Canis lupus familiaris: one gene and its partner. The protein of the gene in region 2 purifies or fractionates together with the protein of the main gene of each other region. This does not show direct contact. Links are inferred from orthologs where the notes say so. Each region holds a gene or a part of one and is shown on either strand. Other genes may lie near its edges.

Region 1 (4,586 bases), on a different chromosome or scaffold from region 2:
GTCTGTTTTCTTCATTGCCACATACTCAGCACTTGGAGTGGAGCCTCATATATGCTAGGAATTCAATATTTATTTGTTATGGTTGCTTTGGATTAAATGCCAACTCATCTGAATAGCCTTCCCAGCACCACATTCTTTCCAGCCCAATCCTCGATTTTTCCCAGCCCCGGCCCCTTTCCTTGTTCTCTTTGGCTCATGGGAGGCTCTGATTATCTGTTTAGTATTTTGGCCTTCCCCTGTAGGGTATCCTCTCCACAAGGGCAACAACTGGAGGTATATGACTCATCACTATACTCCCAACAGCTTTCCTGAGGCTTATCCCTGGAGCTCCTCATGGGCAGGAAGGAAGGGCCTTGTAGAGGATGGGCAGACTGCCCATTACCTCAATGGTAGACGCCTTCAGGAGGGCGATCTGGTCCTCGCGGCCCAGCTGCAGGAAGCCAGGCACTTGTTTGGCGAAATCCACAATCTCCTGGACTGAGATGATGGCTAGTTCCGTGAAGTGGGCAAAACGCTGCTGGCGGGCATCGCGGGACTGGGGGTCTGCACCCAGAGGCCAGGGCTGGGGAAACAGGGGCCAGGGTTATTCTCAGGACTTCTCCCTCAAGCCCAAGGCTGCAGGGACACCTTGAGGCAAAGACTGTACCCTAGGAGACCCTCCTCTCCAAGGCCCTGCCCTCTGAAGGCTTGTTACCTCCCCATGCCCTTGGCTACAGCCTTACTGGCTCAACCCCACCATGCTCATCATCCCTCAAGGCTGTGGGAGGGGAGGTACCGTGACTTTGGGCTGGTCAGAGAAGGAGCGTTTGTTGCACTGCAGTTGAGCTGCCACCAACTGTTGGATCATTAGTTCCTGAGCAGCTGTTAACTGAATACCCTCGCCTTCCCCAGAGCCCTGGCCGCCTCCGTCAGACCCTCCAGGGGAGGCCCCAGGTCCACAAGCTGTGCTGCTGCCCATTGGCCCTACTGGTGACTGTTGCTGCTGCTGCTGTTGCTGCTTCCGAATCTTCTTCTTTCGGATCTGTTCCTCCGAGAGGACGCCTGTTCGGGAGACAGAGGCCTCAGCAGAGGCCCCAGGGCTGGGCAGGGGTCCGGCCGGCTCTCCCCCCAGCACTCACACTGCTCCCTCATCCCGGCCTCCTTGCACTTGCGCAGCCGGCACTGCTGGCACTTGCGCCGCATGAAGGCGTCCATCTGGCAGGTCCCGCCACCCCGGCAGGCGTAGCGCCTGGCCCCGCCTCGGACCACACTGCGCCGGAAGAAACCCTTGCAGCCTTCGCAGCTGAGCACGTTGTAGTGGAAGCCAGAAGCCTTGTCCCCGCACACACGGCACAGCTCATGGCCCAGCATCTTTGGGGCTGGGCCTTTCTTTCGCTTGCGCTCAGGTTCCTCAGCAGGGTCTGGAACGACTGGGGTGGGTGGTCAGGAACCCTGAGACACAGGGCCTCGGAAGGAAATTGCAGCCCAAGGATCATCCCCACAAGAGAGAAGCAAAAAGCCAGGATACAGACAGTGACCCAGGGAAATGGTGTCTCAGAAACAAAAGCGTGCATATCAGTGAACCCCAAAGAACAAATGACAAGTGGCATCAAGTAGGAAAAAAATATGCTCACGGGCAAAAAAAGAAAAAAAAAGTGACAAGTAAGCATGGAAGAAAAAATTAACGAGAAATTGGGAGCCTCCCATCCTCATTTCTGATCTTTCTCCCTTTCTGGATCCTTCCCCAACCCTGTCCCAGCCCCTGTCCTTGGCCCCCATCTCACCCCCGCTGCAAGCGGAGCGGGCCCAATCGCTGCCTGGGACATCAGGATCTGGACCCGAAGGCCACAGTTCAGGACCCTCCTCCTTTATCGCTGGTGAAGAAGATGGGGCGCTGGCTTGAGGCGGGCCATTTCCTGGGAGAGGTAAGCACAGTGAGTTTCTCCTGACAAGTGTGCCACGGGGGTCGGGGCTGGGCCGGGAAGGAGCTCACTCACCAGGCAAGGGCGTGTCCAGAGAACTGGTGGTGGGGGTGGACATGGTGGAGTCACGGAGAAACCTGCAGAATACGGGGGGACCGAGAGCCTTGTGGGGCCAGGGAGGCTCAGGTTAGGCCAGCCCCAAGTCCTGATGCGGGCACCTGTTTCTTCCATTTTTCCAGGCTCCTCCTTTACTGCAGAGACCCCCGCCTAGCCCCTGCCTGCCTCTGGGACCTCTCCTCAGGTTGGGACAGAGCCCGCCCCCGACCGCTCCAGGCCTCCACAGGCTCTCAGCCCTGCCCTCACCTAGACTCCGCCCCTCCCGTAGGCTCCGCCCACTCCGTTCCTGCAGGTACTGCCCTTTCTGCTTCCATCGTGCTCCGCCCTCACTTCCTCCATCCCACCCAGTTTCACCCTACCTACGAGTAAGAACTCCCCACCTCCGCGGAAATAGCATCCCCAACTCCCACCCTGACCCCACCACCTCCCCTTGCCCCACCCCCACTTTTCCATCTAGGTCCCGCCCAAGCCTACCAGGTCCCACCCTCACTCCAGCCATCACGCCCCGCCCCTCCCCTTGCCCCGCCCCGCCGGTGCCCCTCCCTGCAGGCCCCGCCCCACCTCCCGTCAGGCCACGCCTCACCCCTCCCTTCACGCTCCGCCCCCACACCTCGCTCCAGGTCCCGCCCCTCTCCGAACACCAGTGGGGGGCGGGGCTCATGGCTGCGCGCGAGGGTCTTGTGGGCGGCCTCTCGCGGGGTCTCCTACTCCCGTTGCCCTGGAAACAACCGGAGACAGCGCGAGCTACGGAAGGGAGGGGGGGGAAGGAGAGAAGGAGGCTGAGCGGAGCAGCGCGGGGAACGCCGGGAAGCCCCGGGCCCAGGACGCCTCCCGAGTCTCCCCACACTCTAGTGCACCTGCCTCTGTCCCCTTGCTCTGCTTTTCCTCCTCCTTCTCTGTATCCCCTGGCACGCCGCCGCTTCTCGGATCCCCTCAAAAGTAACTTCGCCACTTCTTCCGGCAACCCCGCCGTGCGTCACTTTAGGAAGGGGGCGGGCAGTCAGGAGTGACGGACTTCCGGTCCGCTTAACTAGCCAAATCGGCTGCCCCGCACGGAAGTCGTATTCTCACCGGAAGCTTACCGTCCGGAGTATTTCCACCGAGGCCTGGCAGGAGAGTTCCGGACCAGTTCCCGAATGTAGTGCGGGAGGGGGCGTGGCCTGTCTCAAACCTTCCGAGTGGGAGCTGGGCTGCTTTTGCTCCAGCCCTGTTCCTCTCTGGGCTCGTAGCTTGGGGGTTTACTGGTCACAAAGCTCCCGACCTTCTGCTCCTTGTCGCACACGTTGATTTGAAGCATGTTTGTCCTTGTTTGATTAACAAGTTTTCTGGTTTTAGAGGCACGTTGCTTATTGGTTTGAAATAAATTGAATTGCAAACCTAGACCCAGGAAAAATCTATTAAAAAAAGAACTTGTTGAGGGCTCCCTGGGTGGCTCAGCGGTTTGGTGCCTGCCTTTGGCCCAGGGCATGATCCTAGAGTCCTGGGATCGAGTCCCATATCGGGCTCCCTGCATGGAGCCTGCGTCTTACTCTGCCTGTGTTTCTGCCCCCCCCCCCCCGTGTGTCTCTCATGAATAAATAAATAAAATCTTTATATATATATATATATAAAAGAACTTGTTGATATGAAGATTTAAAAAAAGCATAACCTCATAACCAAAGTGATACAAATAATAGCTTTTAAAGATAACTCACAGTACTTGAATAGGTAGAAAAAGGGAACTGTTCTGGTCTTCCCTGGATGATAATCAGATCTATATTGAGCATATATCCGTTTTTTATTGCAACGTATGAGTCATGCTCTTTTATAATTTGTTTTGTCCATTCCGACATGACCTTGAAGCTATGGAATCGGAGGATGTTACCACTAAAAGGGGTGATTACATGGACATAGAGTGGAGAGAATGGCTGAACTCGTGTCTCTGTCACTTCCTAGTTGTGTTATGTTGAGCCAGGCTATTGACCCTGCCTGTGCCTCAGTTTCCTTTCCTAAACTGGGTCCAACGAGGAGGCTGGGTGGCTCAGTAGTTGAGCACCTGCCTTTGGCTCAGGTCGTGATCCTAGGGTCCTGGGATTGAGACCGCATCAGGTTCCCCGCAGGAAGCCTGCTTCTCCCTTTGCCTGTGTCTCTGCCTCTTTCTCGGTCTCTCATGAATAGATAAATACAATCTAAAAAAAAATAAATTGGGCCCAATAAGAGTTAGTTGGGTTGTCATTACAACTAAATAAGGTAAAAAGAATGAGTCAGGTCAGGTTCAAATAAGGAGAGCCTAATATGTGAGAACTGTGTTTATTCTTGGGGATGCTCAGGTTGTTTTTAACTTCCCTAGAATAGTGCAAAAGGCTGAAAGAGACTGAAAATGAATTACAGCAGTTTGGGGCAAGGCATATCACCCTCAGTCTCAGTTGACGGATCTGTAAAATAGGGGAAGTTATTCCTATTTCTTAAGAAAGGTGTGAAGATTCAGGAGGGGCAGTGCCTGGCGCACCTAAGCATCCAGGGTGAAAATTCATAAAGGGAGACCTCAGTAAATTGAAAGGGGCAGACCAGCAGGGGGAGCTCTCCTGG
Region 2 (4,543 bases):
AGCCATAAGGAGCATTTTACTTGCATTATTTCTTTAACATCCAGACAGTGTAAAAAAAAAAAAAAATTTGGATCTGAGAGTATTTTAGAAGTACAAAACCACATGTCTACTGGTAATTTCTAGATACCCAAAATGTTCATAATTAAAGCATCTAAGGTAATGTCTACTATTACTTTAGGAGCTAGAAATTGAAATAGCAAAAATATTAACAATTCTCAATCACTATGAACATAGCCTAAGTCACTTGGTTTATGGGAGAATTGATCCCTAAAAAATTGATGGAAAAATATTTCAACTTCTCTCCATATAAGGGAAATACTACAGAGGGTAATAAAAAGCTGTGTTGCTGAGTCTCATTCATTTTTAATAATGTTAGCATTGAGACTTCCAAGAGCAGAGGTTGAAAACAACCAAGCCCTAACCACCCTTTTTGAACCCTAGACTGACCATTGTCTCATATGAACTGTAAATATGCCGTAAGTAAAAAAAAAAAAAAAAAAAAAAAAAAAAAAATGTGTCCATTACAGGCCTCCATTTAGATGTAGATTGAAATATTTATGAAGGTTGAGATTTCAGATGCTCATGAGGAGGAGACACACATATCACAGGTGGCCCCTTCACAATCAGATATGTCATTGTGGAACATGAGGCTTGTCCTTGCAAGGGAATTACTCTGGCTAGAACAGCAATTCTCATCCCTTAAATCATTAAGCCTGGCCAATCTGATTCTACTACTGTTGGGGTTTTTTATTTTTTGTTTTTCAAGTAGATACCAATTTGCTCTGCGTATCCAAAATTTCTTTAAACTGTCATGAATTATTTGCTGTATAGGAGCATTTGGGGAACAGGCTGACAATGAACACTCTGCACCTGAAAATTATTTTATTATCTGAAGAGGTCCTACTCCAGAACATTCTCCGTGCTTTCACACTTTGGTTTAGGAGAAGTGTCTCAAGGGAATGATTCAAACAACAGGAAACCTCCATTATTTTTGTGGCAGGTATGAGAAAAATGGGCTGAAATAAAAGGCAAGATGAGAAAGGAAGCCCTTTTTTAAAGTTAGGATTTAAGTTCTGTCTGAAAAGAAGTTCAAAACCTAGGTTGGGTCCCAAACGATTGTTTAAAAACAACAAACAAACAAACAAACAAACAAACAAAACAGTAAAACTGCTTTTGAACTTGGAAAATTTTGTAAGGTGTTCTTGGTTGGGGGGGGAGGGGGGCTGGGGCCCTTAAAAAGTGACTTGCTGATTTTCATCACCAAGGAAATGTTTCATAATATCAAATATGTCCTCTTACATGGATGTATATATACCACCCACTCTCTGTGCGAGGTGTCACTGAATAATAGTTTGGGGTTTTAAAAGCTGACGGTATCAATGCTGCAAAAGATAGGGGCCAACTGCTTCCAGGGCCAGAGGCTTCTCTCTCTCTCTCACTCTCTCTCTCTGTCTCTCACACATGCATCTTGTTCATATCCTTCTATAAGATAAGTGCTGGTAAAGCCACTACACACAGCCTCGGCTCTGGCCCGCGCCAGGACCCTTCTCCTGTAACATGGATCTGGGAATCGAAGCATCCTGATAAGGAACCACCGGACGGCCTCCTCGCCCGGGCTTCCTCCCCGTCTCCAGCCACCCGTCTCCACCGGATCTCAGTCGGAACCCCAGAGCGACAGCCCCTCCCGGAGCCCGGGCCCCCCCTCCGGCCACAGGGTCGATTCCCAGGCCCTCCGGCCAGGAGGCGCTGCGGACCGGTTCCCCGAAGCCACCGGCAGCCCGAACCCGGCCCCCCTGCATCCCCCGCCCCCCCTGCATCCCCCTCCCTCCTTGCATCCCCCCCCGCATCCCCCGCCCCCCTGCATCCCCCACTCCCCCTAGCATCCCCCTCCCTCCTTGCATCCCCCACTCCCCCCGCATCCCCCGCACCCCCCGCCCCCCTGCATCCCCTCCCTCCTTGCATCCCCCTCCCTCCTTGCATCCCCGCCCCCCTGCATCCCCCGCCTCCTCCTCCATCCCCGCCCCCCCTCCCCCCGCCCAGCCCCGCGGCGGAGCTCCGAGTTCCGCGCCGCCCGCCGGGGTTACTCCCGGTCACTCCGCGGCACCGTCTCGCCGCGGCCTCCGCACCCGTGCCCGGCCTCAGGCTGCCCCAAGAGACCAGGCGGCAAAGGGCAGGAAGGATGGGGGGCGGGGGGCCGCGCACCTCAGCTCCAGGTTTCCGCAGCCTCTTCTTCTAAGTCTTTTGTCTTTAAAAGGAACGGACCGCGACCCCAGCGGGGCGGGCGCCCCGGGGCCCCCCAAGTGGCCCGCAGCGCCGGCAGAGCCCGCTCGGGACGGCGCCCGGTCGAGTTCTCGGGGCGCAGGAAGCGCGCTGCGGGCGGTCCGGGGGCGCACGGGGCGAGCCCCAGGTCAGAGCCCGGCCAGGCCGGCCCCGGGAAGAACGGCCCGAGGCTGCGCCCCCCGCCCCCCCCCGGCCCGAGGGGTTCGCGGCCGGCTCGGGCTCTCCGCAACGAAGGGGAGCGCGGGGTGCCGGTGCGGCTCTCGGGGAGCAGCGCCCCGGTGCCACCAGGGCCCCCGCCGCGCGGCGCCCGCGCCCAGGGATGCTTCCCGGCGGAGCCCCGAGCGCGGCAGCTCCCGCGGGTCCCGGGCGCCCTCCCCACCTACGCCGCCCCCGCCCCACCCGCTGCAGGGGGCTCGGGCTGCCGCCCCCAGCCCCGCGCCTCCCCAGCCTCGGCGGCCCGTAAGCAAGATCCCTAACGCCCGGGTCGCTGGAGAGCCTCTTACCTGCTTTCCACTGTTCTGTGCGCGTCTTTGCCCCCACCCCTGGAAAACCCTTCCGGAGAAGGGGGGACACGGGGGGGGCGAGGGGCAGAGCACCCCGAGAAGCGGGCTGTGGGTGCGCCGGTCCCACCTGCCCCGGGGACGGAGGTGCCGGCCGCGCCCGCTCCCGCTCGGAATTACCGGGGTTTCGCCGCGACTAGTTCCTTTTATAGATTCGGCTGCGCCGGGCGCCGGGGTTACTACCGGTCAAAGCCCGCTCGCTCCCTCCTCCCCGCCCCCTCCCCGGCCTCTGTTTATGTAGTTCAGTCACTCAGCAGAAAGCACGTGGAGCCGCGCCCCGCCCCTTAAACGGGCGACGTCCCGCTGCTCCGGGCAGGGCGCGGGGGGCGCGGGGCGGGGGGCAGGGGCGCGGGGGGCCCCGGGAGCCCCCTGCCCCGCCCGAGCCCGCCTGCCCGGGGAGAGCGCGCAGCCCGGGGCTTGGGGCCGAGCCAGGGACTGTCTCCTTGCACGTTCCCTTGGGCCAATAGCACGGGTGGAAGCCGCTTCCTCCAAACTCGTGCTTTCAGCAGTTTTCCCCCCTTTGTTACTTCCCCCCGGTCGGAGGGATTGAGCGGCTGAAACCCCTCCGGACACCAACCCTTTAGCCTTTCCTTTCAAATGCCCAGGGTGTGGGGGAAGACGGACAGTCCTCCGGATAATTAGCAGTTTTTGTTTTCCACCACAAACCCTGACTTTGGTATTCAATAGGGGACTTATTTATTGCCTTTGGGATTCCCAGCCTGGGCCTCCCAGGTCCCTGCGAGGGCCAGTGAAAAGCCTCTTGCTCCTTCTTTTTGCAAAACGAGGGGGAGGTGGGAGGCCACAAAAAAAAAAAAAAAAAAAAAAAAAAGGAACAATGTGAATGAGTGTCCCCCTTTTTATGCTCATTATATTGGTGGGAGTCTCAGTGATAAATACACAGAGCTCGTGTTTTGGCTTCTGTAGATTTGCAAAGTGCAGCTAGAGGATCACGGTTGTGAAATTATAGAACCATTCCAGTTCTCCAGCTTCCTCCTCTGGCTTAGCCATGACACTCAGAAGCACACAGCCCATAACATTTGAGGGACAGAAGCCCAAGTGCGAATGGAGGCCCACAAACCTTGTCTAAATATTTAAATCATACAGCCAGCCAACAAAATGTAAAATAAAGGTCTCCTGCCTTGACAAAGATGTCTTTGAAGCAACCTGGAAGGGCAGGTTCACATAAAGACTCTTCAGGGTCTGACCTGAGTTTTGACAAGAATGTGGTGGAGGGGGGGGTGTCAAACCCCTTGTCTTCCCACCCCCAGCTCCATTATACTCCAGTGGGCTTCAGCTGTACAAGCCCCCACCCCTCCACACCCCTCCACACCCCTCCACACCCCACCACACTGTACTCACTAGTCAGGACCACGACTTGGAGAGAGAGGTACACACATCAGTGCTTCTGTCAGTGCTCAGGACAGATCCAGTGAGGAGGCCCATGCAGGCTCTGAAAGTGCACTTAGGGGCCTCAGGGCAAGGAATTCTGGGGTCCCTGGTCGGGTACTCCTAACTCCGGTGGCATGGCTCTGTGGCCCTGGGAGTGCTCACCCTTATGAGGAGGGCCAGAGCCAAGCCTTCTGAAGCCCAGGGCCCAGCAGCGTCTTGCCTTGGTTCAAAGGATAACTCTGGCCAAGACACTGGGTTCTGGGTCAAATGTGGCTGAACCACATGATGTGCAACTTTCTGCCTCCATTTCTCCA

What was found.
Region 1: the proteins of ABCA1 (region 2) and NR1H2 purify together in Homo sapiens (affinity purification with western blotting; 3 studies listed by BioGRID and IntAct, with this or other methods). This does not show direct contact. The link is inferred for Canis lupus familiaris from reciprocal best matches to the Homo sapiens genes ABCA1 and NR1H2.

What each region holds. Positions count from the first base shown.
Region 1 is NC_049222.1:107,001,511-107,006,096, forward strand, and holds the start of NR1H2 (oxysterols receptor LXR-beta), read right to left. Parts: upstream 3,037-4,586; 5' UTR 2,876-3,036; intron 2,763-2,875; 5' UTR 2,602-2,762; intron 2,039-2,601; 5' UTR 2,020-2,038; coding exon 1,977-2,019; intron 1,896-1,976; coding exon 1,764-1,895; intron 1,410-1,763; coding exon 1,119-1,409; intron 1,042-1,118; coding exon 776-1,041; intron 563-775; coding exon 383-562; intron 1-382. UniProt on the Homo sapiens protein: Nuclear receptor that exhibits a ligand-dependent transcriptional activation activity. Binds preferentially to double-stranded oligonucleotide direct repeats having the consensus half-site sequence 5'-AGGTCA-3' and 4-nt spacing (DR-4).
Region 2 is NC_049232.1:61,251,081-61,255,623, forward strand, and holds the start of ABCA1 (phospholipid-transporting ATPase ABCA1), read right to left. Parts: upstream 2,974-4,543; 5' UTR 2,784-2,973; intron 1-2,783. UniProt on the Homo sapiens protein: Catalyzes the translocation of specific phospholipids from the cytoplasmic to the extracellular/lumenal leaflet of membrane coupled to the hydrolysis of ATP.